2 linked regions of the Notamacropus eugenii genome follow. The protein of the gene in region 1 interacts with the protein of each later gene in a pairwise test. Links are inferred from orthologs where the notes say so. Each region holds a gene or a part of one and is shown in the gene's direction. Other genes may lie near its edges.

Evidence for each region.
Region 2: the proteins of NTAQ1 (region 1) and NT5C1A interact in binary tests that used the Homo sapiens proteins (3 or more experiments, as listed by UniProt). The two-hybrid records come from large-scale screens. The link is inferred for Notamacropus eugenii from reciprocal best matches to the Homo sapiens genes NTAQ1 and NT5C1A.

Annotation. Positions count from the first base shown.
Region 1 is NC_092875.1:120,994,198-121,001,481, reverse strand, and holds the start of NTAQ1 (protein N-terminal glutamine amidohydrolase), read left to right. Parts: upstream 1-4,130; 5' UTR 4,131-4,299; intron 4,300-5,171; 5' UTR 5,172-5,304; intron 5,305-6,462; exon of another isoform or gene 6,463-6,537; 5' UTR 6,538-6,628; coding exon 6,629-6,711; intron 6,712-6,811; exon of another isoform or gene 6,812-7,242; intron 7,243-7,284. UniProt on the Homo sapiens protein: Mediates the side-chain deamidation of N-terminal glutamine residues to glutamate, an important step in N-end rule pathway of protein degradation.
Region 2 is NC_092876.1:79,437,183-79,444,997, forward strand, and holds the start of NT5C1A (cytosolic 5'-nucleotidase 1A), read left to right. Parts: upstream 1-4,519; 5' UTR 4,520-4,763; coding exon 4,764-4,880; intron 4,881-7,815.

The DNA of each region.
Region 1 (7,284 bases):
TTGGAAACAGTTGTCTGATTTTGAGCAGAGACTTGATATAACTAGATTTGTATATAAGGAAGATAAGTCTAGAAGTGGTGTCATGGATAGATTAGAAGGAAAAGAGAGTGGAGGCAGAAAGATGTCTTAGAAGGCAGTAGTGTAAGTGGGTGATAATAAGAAGCTGGATTAGATTGATAGTGGTGAAAATAAAAAGCTGTGGTTAGATATGGGAGATATTGTAGAAGTAGAATCACTGGGATTTTGCGACTAATTGGATATGAAAGGTGAGAGAGAGGGAATAATCAAAGATACTACCAAGGTTTTGAATACAGGACAATAGGTGAATAGTGGTGCTACTGACAGAACTGGTGAAACCCAAAGAAAAAGCAAGTTTTGATGAATAGATAAACTCAGCTTTGGAGGAGGTGAGTTTGAAGTACTAGGGAGGCATTCAGATGAGGAATATCCTGCCGGAATGGGGAAAAGCGAATCTGAGACCTTGAGAGAGGTCAAAGCTGGAGGCCTTATGGTTTCAGAGACTATCTGTATTAAGGTGATAATTGAAATCATGGGAGCTAATGACATTTTTAAGGGACAAAGTAAAGAACAAAGGACTGATAAAATCTTTTGAGATCCAAGAGAGGCTAAGGAGTCAGCAAAGGAGGAGAAAAAGAAGATATGGTTGGAGGGGTAATGCCAAATGAAAGAGTGAGGTCAAAGAACATGAGAACTGGGGTAAAGATGATTTGATGTCACTGGTGTGCTTAAAATAGTTTTAGTAGAGAAGGAATAGAAGCCTTGTTGACAGGGATTGAGAAGAGAGTGGGTAATAAAGAAGTGCAATTGGAAGAATTGAGTTCTTCAAGACTACTTCAAGAAATTCCTACTTGCTTGGGGGAGTAGGGTCAAGGAAAGGGCTTCTTTTGGGAATGAGGAGACCTAGATATATTTGTATCTACATAGGAAGAAGTCAGTGAAGCATGAGAGATAACAGACTCAAACAGAGAATGGATGATTTTTTTATACCCAATATTCCTTTCCTTAAATTACCATGAATGCTAAGAGATTTTCACTTTTTGCCAAAGTTTTCTAGGTTTCTATTTCACTATTCAGATTTTCCTTGTTGATTACAATTAGTGGCAAAATAGCAGTTTTCTTCACTGTATTCTCAGTACTACACTAACCCTCTGCTTGGTTTCCCCATATGCTCTTCCATTTCAATGCCTAGTCATCACTCCAGATTAGGCATTTTAACATTTACCCTTCAAGAATATCAATACCTTACTATAATATTGAGTGGGATAGGTTTAGTGAAGACTTCTCAGATTGTAATTCTTCTCCCAGGGGTGAGGTAAGACCTAGAGGCTCAAGGTTACAATATTTTTAGAATAGAATAGTTCCATATAAGGATATAAAACTGTGTAGTATATTAGGGTCTCAATGATTGGATAAAACTTACATAATTCCTCGATGTCTTCATTTCAAAAGGGATTGGTTAGATTTTGTGTCTAGAATGTAAGATCATATTCTCAGCTAATGAGGATAATGGTCAGTGGGGGAGGAGGGACTTGCGTTAGGGTCTATATAAATCACTGCCTTTTCTTTGTCTTTGTCTTTCCTACTCCAGATGAACTGGTGTAGGATTGTCCCGATTCTCGAGAATCTAGTAAATAAACTTTCTGTCATCACTTTGAGAGGCCTCTGAGTAACTGATTTAAGTAGGGACCTGAGCCATCCCACACAATATCAAGTCAAACTTCTCATTTCCTAGAATTCAAGTTTTTCCTTAGAGGCTCTAATTCTTATCAATCTGACTTAATCTCCCACTTTTTTTGGAGGGATCCAAAACTGTAATTTCACATCTTTGATAATTCTTGGCAACTAGAACTCACTGATGCAGATTGGAATAATTTTGTAACTTATAGGCTAAAGTGTGTGGACACAGGCCTTCCAAGGTAAAGTGACTCTCCCATCCATGGTCACATTGCTGGTATATGTCAGAGACAGATCTTAGACCCAGGTCTTTCTGACTCCTCTATTAAATCTCTATCCAGTAAGTCACATTGTCTCTCATTTCCCTTGGTTCCCACTTTCTAGTTTTCATAGCACTTTCTTTACAACAGCCAGATAAGGTGGGTAGTACAGTTATTATTATCCACATTGTTTTTTTTTTTTTTTAGAAAAGGGTAGCTTGTAAGTACCAGCACTTTGATCATATTGACTTTTTCCCAGTTTTTTTGTCCCTTTAGCAATCTGAATGGAGTGTGGAACTATCTTTTTTCTTAAAGTTAGCAGCCTAAAGACTAGTATCTCTTTTCTCATAAGTTCTCATCAATGCTTTCCGTGATATAGGTAAGGAGTATTGAATAATTAATCTCCACCAACGAAGAAAGACTTACACTAATGACTTTGAGCCACGTTACTTTATCAAAACATTTTGTTTTAAGAAAATTTCAACAAACTCCTCATATAATTTAAGAAAACCCCCCAAACCAGTCCCCCCAAATATTAAGAAAAATAATACCAAAAAGTACAAGATTGGACAAGCAGCCATGCACTTGTTTGCCATTTTAAAAAAGAAAGGGGAGATGCATGCTGCTACTGACAGAACTGGTAAAACCCAAAGAAAGAGCAAGTTTTGATGAATAGACAAGGAGGAGGTGAGTTTGAAGTGCTAGGGAGGCATTCAGGTGAGGAATATCCTATAGGCATTTGGAAAAGTGAGTCTGTGATCTTGAAAGAGGTCATAGTTAGAGGTATTATGGTTTCAGGAGCCATCTGAATCAAGTTGATAAATGAAATCATGGGAGTTAATAACATTACCAAGGGAGAGAGTAAGGGTCAGTTTTCTAGACAGGAATCTCAGGGTTCAAGCTCTCTCTATGACACATACTAGCTATGTGACCATCTGTCCATTTCAGTGACCATCAGTAAGTCACTTATACTCAGCGAAACAGGAAATTTTCTAAGATTATAAACATACATTTTTGTAGAGGAGTGGCCAGTCTGAATATGTGGAAGGAGTTTCCACACTAACAGTTTAGCACATTGATGAAATCATTGGTTTAGATAGAAAAAAGAAAGAAAAGTAGCTTATGTACTGACTTAGCACCTCCCCCCCCCCAAAAGATGGGAGGGCCCCCAGCATCTGTGTGCTTCAATTTTGATATGGCAATAATACCAATATTTACTTTCATATTTATCTGAGATTTGTTGCTCTTTAATGTCTTTGTTTATTTCATTGAAGTTAGAATGTTTATTTTCCTTTGATTTTGCTTTATTTTGTATAGATTCAGTTTGAATATTTCACCATTTCTTCAAACTGGCAAATTCCTTATGGCTACGGAATCCACATACATCCACATGCCACAATTTATTAAATCACAAAGCTTGTGTCCAGCTTTTTAGCTATTACAAATAGTTCTGGTACGAATATTTTTGCAGATTGGTCTTTTCCTACCAATTACTACCCCAGGTTAAAAGCCTAATAGTGGGTTTGTTGGATTAAAGAGTACAAAATTTTTTGTTACTTTTATTGTATAATTCTATATTTCTTTCCAAAATTCTTAGTAAATTCATAGCTCCATTAGCAGTGAATTTTTAGATTGTCAATTTTCCAAAGTCTTGCCAGCAACTGATTTAAAAAAAAATTACTATTTATGTGAATTTGATGTCTTTTAAAGTGACACTTAAGAATTAAGCTAATTTGTATTTTTATTATTCATTCAAATTACTTGTGTTGAAGTGGACATTATTTCCCCTCCCCCCCTAGAGCCCCTGGGTTGAGAAATGTCTGTTGAGTTTCTAGGCAGGGTTGGGCCTAGTAGCCACTTACTATTAGTGGCTACACTTTCTGTTGTACCCCTTTGCCTAGCAGCTGCCTGGGCCCCCCTCTCTGTTGTACCCCTTTGCCTAGCAGCTGCCTGGGCCCCCCTCTCTGTTGTACCCCTTTGCCTAGCAGCTGCCTGGGCCCCCATCTCTGTTGTACCCCTTTGCCTAGCAGCTGCTTGGGCCCCCCTCTCTGTTGTGCCCCCTTGCCTAGCAGTACCTAGGAACCCCTGTCAAAACTGTTCTGTGAAAAATGTGAGCTACTGGAACCATAAGGCTGTACCGGGAGGTGCTAAGATGCTTAAAAGGCACACACACCTTTGTTCAGGGCTGCCACCTTTGTGGACAGCCACTGGCTAAGACACTCCCAAATTCTCAATTAACTCTTGCCTGTGCTTGTCTCGGTCTGTCCATTTCAGTGTGAACTTATGTTTCTTTTGAAAAATGCCTATTCAGTTGCATATACTCTCAGACTTGATTGATGTGCTGGTGAGTTTTTCTAAATTGCTTTTTTTCCCTAAGTTCTCTCTTTTTATTCATCTTTTAAAAAACTGTTATAGGGAATGACTCAAGGGAGAGGAGGAAAGATAGCAGGAATATATTTGGTAATGAAGGTGATATAAAAATTAAAGATACCAATAAAGTAAAATAAAAGGAAAAGGCCTGTTCACAGCCCTTGACCACTTATCTATCAGGAGGAATTTCTCCTAACCTTATAAATCTATGCCAGTCCCTATAGATTTTACATGTCAGACTTTCAGCAGAAACGTTTAATTGCAAAAATTTTCCCCCTACTCTGTAGTTCAATCTGTTTATGTGCATGGTTATAACTGGTAAGTGTGCTTTTCCCTCCTCCACATCCTGTTGCTTGTTAAGTCTGCTTTTTCAGTCAGATCACTAGTATCATTCTCTTAGAATGATCATAGACTCTCCATACCCTCACATCTCTTCCTATAACCTCAAGATTCTGGGATTCTACTTTTATTGATAGAATCTTTTCAAAACTCCTCATGCCCTTTCTCTAGTTCAGATAGAAAGGTGTTTTAAAATGTTTCCCTCTATTCTCATTCTTCTGTTTCTCTGTTGTTTTGTTCTTTATCCGTGGCCCCCATATTCAAGGTACAACATTTTTCCTCTTTCCTCATTTTATTACTTCTTTTTGATTCCTTAAGCATTTTAAAAGTGTCTACGTTGTCCAAGGAACTAAGTGTTGGGGATATAAAGACAAAACAGTGCCAAAGGGAGACTAGACTAAAGATGAAACATACCATATGGTTTGAAGGAAGTGAAGATGTTTAGTCTATGGAAGAAGGTAAAGCCAGGGGAAAAGGATAATTGTCCTTTCAACTCTGTAAGTTTAGAAGTGAAGAGGCCTGGCTGGACTACATTTCATTTGATAAGGACTTCACAAGCACATTCAGTATGATCTGACTCTCTAACCTGGCAGCCAGAATCTCAGGTTGCATTGACAGAGGAAGTCTCCAGGTCAAAGAAGTGAGTAGTCCCACTGAACTCTGCCCTAGGCTTAGATGTATGGAGTATAGGTTTAGTTTGGGGTGTTCCATTTTGGGTGAAGACACTGACAAGCAGAAACATGTGCAAAAGAGGAAAACGAGAATGATGATAGAATTTGTGATGGGGGCTGGAACTGCACCTGTAATATCATTGGAGTAGGGAAATTGTCAGGTGAGGAAATTCCCTCTACCAATGCAAGTTGCTTGTCGTTGGATTTCCCAGTAAGGAGGGTCATAATTGTGTCAGAGCTGATGCTCCTTCCACTATTGTTAGAATTACTAATTAATAATAGAAATTATTAGAATGTAATCTTGTAAGTAGGGATTGTTTCATTCATTGTGATGGCATTTTAAGTTAGTCAATTAGCACTTTGTGGTAGGCATGGTGCTAAAGGATAGGGATGTAAAGAAAGTCAAAAGACAATCCCTGATCTCAAGGAACTCATGATCTAGAGAGAGACGACATGCAAAGAGGGGCAACTGGTGGTGCAGGAAACAGAGCAGTCAGGAAGGCCTCAGACATTTATTGGTTGTGTGACTTTGGGCAAATCACTTAACCCTGTTTGCCTCAGTTTCCTCCTCTGTAAAGTGGCAGACCACTCCAATATCTTTGTCAAGAAAACTCCGAATGGGGGTCAAGAAAAGTCAGACATGACTGAAATGAGTGACACATGCAAACAACTATGTACAAGGCATATTCAGGATAAAGGTAGGGTAGTCCCAGAGGGAAAGCTCCACAGGGAGGCCTGGGAAAGGCCTTCTGCAGCAGGAGTGATTTTTAGCTGAAACTTGAAGGAAACCCAGGGAGGCCAGGAAGGGATTGGGGGGATGAGGTGCAAACGCAAGAAAAGCCCTATGTAGAGGAGCATAAGCCTAGAGCTCTATAGGCCACAAAGCCAGGGACTATTTTTCTAAGAAACAAATCCCTTCCTCAGCAGAGTCAAAAGTTCAGTAAAAAAAAAAGTCCAGTCAAGACATCTCTGCCCCGCCCCTCTAACTCCGCCCCTAACGAGACCCCGCCCCTTCCTCACCGTTCCCGCCCCCAAGCAACAACCTGCCCCCCCGCTCAGGCCTTCCAAGCCCCGCCCCCCACGCTTCCGCTAAGACCTCCTCAGACCCGCCCCTCGGGCCCCGCCCCCTCGGCTCCGCGGCCCCGCCCCTCCGCGGCCTCCGCCTCAGCGTCCGCCTCTTATTAGGCTGTCCCCTTTCCCAGGCTTTCGCACCGCGCTTCCTCGGCCTGTTGAAGGAGGGCGAAGGGACAGCCGGGCGTATTCGGCCCGGGCTTGCCCGCCCGCCCGCCCGCCATGGAAGGAGAGGGATCCGTTTCCCGAGGCTACCAGCCAGCCAGCCCGCCCCGGGACGCCTGCACCTACAGCAGCTGCTACTGGTAAGGGGCCCGAGCCCCGCCCCCGCCCCCGCCCCGGACCGGCCTAGGTCTGTCGTAGGCGCCTTCCCTGGGCCCGGCCCTGCGCCGCCCTGGCCCCGCCCCTGGCCCCGGGCACCCCCGAGCTTCTCCGCGCTCGGCCCGGGCGTGGCTTCGGGTTCTGCGGAGAGGCTTCTAGGCCCCGGAGCCGAAGCTCATCCAGGCCAGCCCCCGCTCCCTACCACCCTTTCGTCTTACAGATGGGGAAACTGAGGCTGGGAGCGCTCGCCTTCCCTTCATTCAGTAACGGGAGGGGGACTCGGATCCCAGCGGCCGAGGTGGCTGCTAACCAGGACGGAGTCAGGATTTGAATCCAGGGCTAACGGCTCCAGAGCTCTGGTGGTTCTCCCTGCTGGCGACGACAGTAACTCTTTCCGGGTAGAGAGATGGAGCTGGGAGGGACGGGCTGTTTCATGGCAGGGCCTTATCGTAAATATAACTTGCGGGCGGCGAGGCGCCGAGAATACTTAGAATAAATGATACCTTTGTAATCAGGTGAGTATGGGAAATGAGGGCCACCCTAGGAGCTGATCCTGG
Region 2 (7,815 bases), on another chromosome or scaffold:
AGAAATAAAGACCAACAGACAGGGCTTCTAACTGTCGGACCGTAAGTAATACATACATCACAGATCAACAGACAGATCCAACCATTACATACATGCATCATTACCAGGGACAGCAAGCACCAACATCTGGGTTTTCAAAGCTGGGGGCTCCCTAATGGCTACCCAGAGCCTCATCTGGCACTCGAACCTTCTCCCAAAGAGTAAACCCCAAAGCAAAACTTCAACCCAGAGTATATATACACTTTTCAGAGCCAGAGGGCACAACCCTCAGGACTCAATGCCTCATTAACAACTAACAAAAGGTGTGAGCCTTCCTACAAAACAAGCCTCCCCTAATCAGGCTTCCCTTAGTGGGCTCCATCTGAGGCTTATTAATGGGAAGGGAAAATCTTTAACTCTTACAGTGGGAGAGACCATGAGCTTAGAGGGATGGTGGCAGGAAATGGACAGTGTTAGGGTGTCTGGGGAACAAAGGGAGGGGGCTTTGGCAAAGTAGCAAAGGGACAGAAGGAAGGGAGAAGGCTGATTTGAGGTTACCTCACAACACTGGTCTGGTCCAATCCCTGTTCACACACCCCCAGCCTTCTCCTCAGGCTCACTCTTGAGTCAGTCCTAGAGGGTGAAATCTAATCAAATCCCCTTGCAGTGAAATATCCCGTCACATTAATTCCATCTAGATTTGTGCTAAGCCGAGTCACAATTTCTTTTTGTGCCTTTTTGTACCAGTTAACTTCTCTGTAAAAATGAGTAGGTTCTGCCTTCCCCCCTCCAAAAAAAAAGGAAAGAAAAGAAAGAATCAAAAGAGAAAAATGAGTAGGTCATTCTCAACCTGTTACAAGTACTTAGTATTTGTGCAATGAAAGGAGATAGGAGACATCAGTGTATAGTGTACAGAGCAATAAGACCCAAACATTTGAAGACTTGCTGCACTACCTTGGGCAAGTTCCTTCCCTCTTTTAGGGCTCATTTTTCCCATCTGTAAAATTATTATCTCAAGAGTGTCTTCTAGGACTGACAGTCTGGAATCCTGAGAGCCCCACAGAATCTTCTCATCTGTAAAATGGGGAATTGGGCTAGATGTCCTCTGAAACCTCTTCTACCTCCAAAGCTCCTAAGAGCATGAGTGGAGAATGCCATCTGCTCTGCTCTCCACGCCTCCTTTCTTCTCTCTCCAGCTTAGTGGCCTGACCCAACACCTATGTTCCCTGAGGCTGGAGATGGAAATGGGATGGAGTTGGCTTGTTTTCCAATTGCTTCACCAAGGACTCTCAGAGGGCAAGAGCCTCTCACGGGCAGGAAGCAATTAAGATGGGGTGGGGAGACGACTGAGGATTGAGAATAGGTGAGCTGGCAGACACCCAGCTGAGAGGCCTCTGACCTGTTGTGGGCAGAGGATTCCAACTCACCTTCCCTTCAGCACCAGGGTGGGAAAAGCCATTACTAACTGCTCTCCTACTTTGATGGATGGTTTCCTGGAGGAGAGATTGCCCTGTCTGCCATCCCTTATGACCTTAGGAAGGGAGGGTGAGAGACCCAGCTGAAACCCTGAGTGATTACAAGAGGGGGTACCCTTCTCTCTTGCCAGACTCTCAAGCTGGGCCTTGAAGGATTGTTGTGAGGAAAGTCATTGTTAAACTTCAAATCACTTTGGAACTGAGAATTCTTTGTATTTATAGAGCAAAGATTGAGATGGGAAGGTACATGCCTAATATCCTCCATATAGTAAATAGCATTAGCTCCAACAAATATACTTGGCCTGTGTGTGGCCAAGTTTCTCTGAGGAGAGAGAGGGGTATGGGAGGGGTGGTTCATCCCTCCTCCAGCAAACTCCCCTCTTCTGGGGGGAGAGAAGGGTCGCCACACCCCTGGACAATCTAGCCATAACCTTTACACCAGGAGAACGTAAGCCTCTTGGCATCAGGAAATTTCATTTTCATCTTTGTATTCATAGTACCTGGCATACACAGTGCCTAGCATGTAGTAGGCATATCGTAAGTGCTTGTTGAATGAAATTTAGAGCAGATAAAGATAGGCCCTGAAAGCTGTCCTCCTACCAGTCCTATCAGGTGAAAGTATTATTCCCCCCAGCAGCGAGGCATTCCTTCCATTCCTTCCCACCTTTTGGTCTGGGAACATTATGGGTCACTACAATTCCTGGAAGGAACTGTCCAATTCCTCACCATCCCTGCAACTTCCCAGGCCAAAACATGACTCTCTGGTCATCAGACTCCTGGAGGTGGTCTTCTCCATTAGCATGTAACCTCCTTGAGTCCAGAGGATACCTTGCTTTTTGTATTTGTAACTCCTAAGGTTTAGCACAATGTCTGACACATAGTAAGAGCTCTGTTAAACCTTTTTTCATTCATTCACTTTACGAAGGAGAAAACTGAGAAAGGAAAAAATAGCTTACTCAAGGTTACACAACTTGTAAATGTCAAATGAACACATATGTATTCAATGCTTACTGTGTGTGGGTCCTGTGCTGGGCTGTTGGTGAAATACAAGGTTCACTGGAAAGATTTATGTGAACTGATGCTGAGTGAAGTGAGCAGAACCAGGAGAACATTGTACACAGTAACAGCAACATTGGGTGGTAATCAACTTTGATAGACTTAGCTCTTCTCAGTAAAACGAGGATCTAAGGCAACTCCAAAAGGCTCATGATAGAAAATGCCATCCACATGCAGAGAAAGAACTATGGAATATGAATGCAGATTGACATATACAATTTTCTCTTTTGCTATTTTTTCTTTCTCATGGTTTTTCCTTTTGGTTCTAATTCTTTGGGTAGTGCAGTAGATAGAGCACCAGTGCAGGAGTCAGGAGGACCTGAGTTCAAATCTCACCTCAGACACTTGACACTCACTAGCTGTATGACCTTGGGCAAGTCACTTAACCCAATTGCCTCATCCTGGGTCATCTCCAGTCATCCTGATGAATATCTGGTCACTGGATTCAGATGGCTCTGGAGGAGAAGTGAGGCTGGTGACCTGCACAGCCCTCCCTCACTCAAAACAAAGTAAAGTTCAAGTCATGTCATCATTTCTCTAATGGCATGGTCCTCTTCAGTAACAAAAGACTAACACACATGCCTTAGTTTCCTCAACTGTTAAATGAGGATAATAATAATATCCACTTCCCAGAGTTGTTGTGAGGGTCAAATGAGATAACATTTGTAAAGCTCTTAGCCCAATGCCTGGCATACAGTAGGTGCTTAATAAATGCTTGTTTCCATCCTTCCTTGGTGAGCTTCAGTGTCCTCATCTGTCAAATGAAGGGGGTGAATTAAATGCTTTTTAAGGTCCTTTCCACTCTAAATCCTCTAATCCTGGGGCAGATTTCACGTGAGGTCTCCATAGACCTTGCAAGTGGCTGGACCCAGAAGGGAGGGAAGTTTGGAGGTTCCTGGCTCAGAAGAAGTCAGCAGTTCATTCTCTTTTATCAGTTACAAGGGGTCGCGCCTGGCTGAGAAGGTGGTCCAGCAGGTTGGCTTTCAGAGGCCAGAGATGTCAAGTGATCTGAAAAGTCCCATACCAGAAATAAGGACGTTGAAGCCCAGCATGGAAAGGACTTGGGAGTTACAGAGGGAGCTAGTAACAGAGCCAGGCCTAGAACGTGGGTTTATGGCTGTGCCCTCCACACCAGGCTTTAAAAAGCTACAGTCCTTTAGTGCTACTCTCCTGGGCTCAGATCCCAGGGTTCAGCTCTGTCCAGACACCCCTCTGACTGGGTCCACCCCCACCCCCAGCTGCTTCTGCCAGTTCCCCGGGACACAGGCCAGAGGCCCTTGTGTTGCCCGGCAAGGTGGGGAGAGGGCGACAGCTAAAATATATTCCTCAGCTGGCTCTCTCCTTTCCCTCTTCTTTGCAAAATCAGTTTTCCCCTTCTGAGGATTTCCCCCACCTCCCTGGAGGCTCTAGATTTAGGGTTCTGAGCCTCCAATTCCCTCTCCTTCTGCCCCTCCCTCTGCCTCCCCCTCCCCTCAGCTGTCCTCTCAGGCTGGGAAGGACGCATGTCCTTGGAAGGATAGGGTGAGAGTGTGGAAGGGGGGTCCTTCAGCTGCCCAGATTAGAACAGCTCCAGGTTCCCGAGGGGGAGAGAGGGGCAGGAGGTTAGCCTTGCAGCTTTACAGCCATATAGATTGTGTGTGCCTACAAATGTATGGAGATTATATACATGTACATGTATATAGTACATGTGTGTATCTTGCATTGCACACATATTCTTGAAAGTGCATGTACTAACACGATACATAGATGTGTCCTGTGTCTCTATGTGTGCATATGGGCACATGTTTATGTGTATATCCCTGCAATCCATGTGTGTTTCTGCATTATATATGCCCTTACCTATCTCCTACTGCAGGATGAGAGGAGGCTGGAGCCCACCAAGGAGGAGACAACCCCCCAGCCCACCCCCATCCCCGCCCCCCACCCCCTGTTGGGTGCGCAAGCGCCCGGGTCCCGCCCCCCACAAATAAAGCAGCTCCTCCCTCTCTCCCTCCCTCCTGTCACCACAGGCTGCTTTGCTACTGAACAACCTTCTTAGCCATTCCCCGGGACAGAGCAGCTGGCTTTGGGTCTGGACCAGGGTTTGTCCACCTTCCTCTTCAGCTCCCTCTCCGCTCCTTCTCCCCTTCTTTTCCTCCCCTTCCTTTCTTCCTGCCTTCTCTCCTCATCCTCCTCTCTTCCCCTTCTCCCCCCTCCCTCTCCTCTTCTGCTATTCTCACTCCTTCTTCCTCTAGAGTCCTCTGCTCCCTCAGCATGGATTCTGGGCCTCGGGGGCCCTTGGGGACCCCAGAGTCTGGAGGGAAACCACCAAACTGGCAGGAAGCCAAGACTTTCTATGACAGCCTGGCACCCAAAAAGAAGCCCAAATCGGTAAGATGTAGCCCTGTGTGAGCCTGGGAGAGGGGGACCCCAAACCCTGATGAGGGAGGGACAGAGGGACTGGGAGATGGAAGGATCCTTGTTCTCCAGCCAGAAAAACTGCAAGAGTGAAGTCCCCGCTTCTCTCCCTCCCCTTCCTTCCCCTCCCCTCTCCTCTTCCTCCTCCTCCTCCTCCTCCTCCTCTTCTTCCCTCCCAGTTTCTGGCAGGGACTGGGTGTTTATTTCAGTTCTGGCCTGGGCTTTGTGCCTCTCCTCTTCCTCATCAAAATGCCCTCCCCCTCCCCTTCCTATCAGCCCCAGCCCCTGGTCACAACCTGCCTCTTGCTGTGTTGGCTGTCAAAGCACATGTCTCTTCAAATGAATTAAATCAAAATGAATGGATTGGAGGGTGGCTTCCCTGTCCAGACTCATGGCTCTGGGCTCTCTGGAGTGTAGGGCCTGAGGGTCCCCTGTTCAGAATCACTGGGGCTCTAACCACTGAGATTCTCATTCCAGACTGCCTACCCCAGTAGTCTCTAGAGCCGGATGGGCACTGACATTTAAGCGGGGGGACTAGGGATGAAGGGAGGGCCTCAGACTGTTGGCCCCAAGTGACAGACAGATTTATTCTTTGATTTAGAGCTGCAGGGACCTTACGCATAATTAGCCCAACTACCTCATTCTACAAATGATGAAATGGAGTTGAATTGATAGGTTCAGAGAGTAAATGGCAGATCCAGTATTGGAATCCAGGCTACCCAAGTCAAGCCAGCTTCCCGAATGGGAGGAGAGACTGAGTAGCCCTGTCTGCAGGCTCCTTCCTTACTGAATACAAAGGTGCCCATATCTCTTCCATTCTCAAAAAACTGAGATTTCTAGCCCCAGTATCATCCTCTGTCTCCTCTGATCTTGTGGTCAGACTCCTTGAAAGGGCCTCTAGGATAGGTCCTCCACTTTCTTGACTCTCATTCTTTTCTTAACCCTTTACAATCCAGCTTCTGACCTCATCATTCAACTAAAGCTGCTCTCTCCAAAGCCACCAGTGATCTCTTAATTGCTAAATGCAGTGGCCTTTTCTCAATCACCATTCTCCTTGACCTCTTTGAAGCCTTTGTTACTGTTGATCACTCTCTCCTCTTTGACACTCTTTTCACCAGGTTTTCAGGATACCACATTCTCCTGGTTTTCCTCTTACCTATCTGACCTCTCCCTCTCTGTCTCCTCTGCTGTATTTTCATCCAAGTTACACTGCGTAATTAAGGGTGTCTTCCTGGGCTCAATCCTAGACTCTTTCCTCTTCTCCCTCCAATCTACTTCACTTGGAGATCTCATTAGTTCCCATGGATTTAATGACCTATGATCTATGATCTATGCTGATGGTCCTCAAATCTATCCATTCTGCCTTAACCTCTCTGATGGTCTCCAGTCTCACATCTCCATCTGTCTTTCGGACGTCTCAAATTCAACATGTTCAAAACTGAACTCATTAGCTTTCCTCCTAAATCCTACCCTCCCCGCCCACTACCTTCCCTATTAATGTAGAGGGCGACACCATCCTCCCAGTCCCTCAGGCTCACTACTTTGGAGTCATCCTGGATTCCTCCCCATCTCTCACTTACCACCACCACCCCCATTTCCAAGCTGTTGACAAGGCTTATCAATTTCTTCTTTTCAACTTCTCTCCAATACACTTCCCTTCTCTTCTGAACTGCCTAGTGCTGACTCTCATCACCATATGATTAGACTATTACAGGTGGATCTGCCTGCCTTAAGTCTTTCCCCACTCTCTTTTCAGCTGCCAAAGTGATTTTCCTAAAGTGCAGGTCTGACCATGCCACCCTTGTCCTCAATAAACTTCAGTGACTCCCCATCGTCTCCAGAATCAAATATAAAATCCTCTGTTTGCTATTCAAAGCCCTTCATAACCTAGCCCACTCCCACCCATCCTTCTAGTTTTCTGATACCTTATTCCTGACACACTTTGATCCAGTGACGCTGACCTAACTTTGCTTTCAACAAGACGCTCCAGCTCACAGCTCTGGGCATTTTTTTCTGGCTGTCCCCCATTCCACCCCTGTACTGGCTTCCCTGGCTTCCTTCAAGTCCTAATTAAAATCTCATCTTCTACTGGAAGCCTTTTCCAACTCCTCCTAATTCTAGTGCCTTCTACCATTTAATTATTTCCTATTTATCCTGTATAGAGCTTATTTGAACATATTCTGTTTGCTCACTATCTCCCTTGTTGGATTGTGAGGTTCTTGAGGGCAGGGATCATCTCTGGCCTCTTTTTTGCATCCCCAGCACTTAGCACAGTGGCTGAGCACTTAATAAATCTTTATTGACTAACTAATTAATTGATTGACCCTCCGAATGTGGTCCAAATTGAAGACAACTCACTGAATAGCAGTCAAATGCTGAGTAGGAACAGATAAGGAATTAAAGACTGTCCAGAGGGCTGTCCAGCATTCAGGGACTTGGGGGAGCCCAGAATATGTTCCCCTGCCTCCTTTGCTCTCCTCTGTGGAGGCAGCTCTCAGGGTAGATACACAGACCCCACCCCTAACTGCCCTAACCTGACCCTGGAACTCCTTCTGGGCCAGTCCTGCTCAGCTGGGACTCCAGGAGGACCCATGGCTAGGGTTGCCTATCGACTTCCCAAGACCTTGACCTTCTGGGCTCCTAGCCAGTACTGTCCCCCAGGACTCCCTGACTTGGGAACTTCATACTACACTAGGTCTCCCTTTCCCTCTAAAGCACCCTCTCCAGTTCCTGATCCCCCTGCTTCCTGCCCCTCGCCTGATCATTGAGAAGATATACAACATTGATGAGGGCTGGAGAGATAGGAGTACAGGAACTCCAAGACTGGCGCTCCCTGCATGGGCCATCTGGAAAAGAATTCATGGACTCAAGTGTTGTTGAGGTTAAGGTGGTAAAGATTTATTACGCT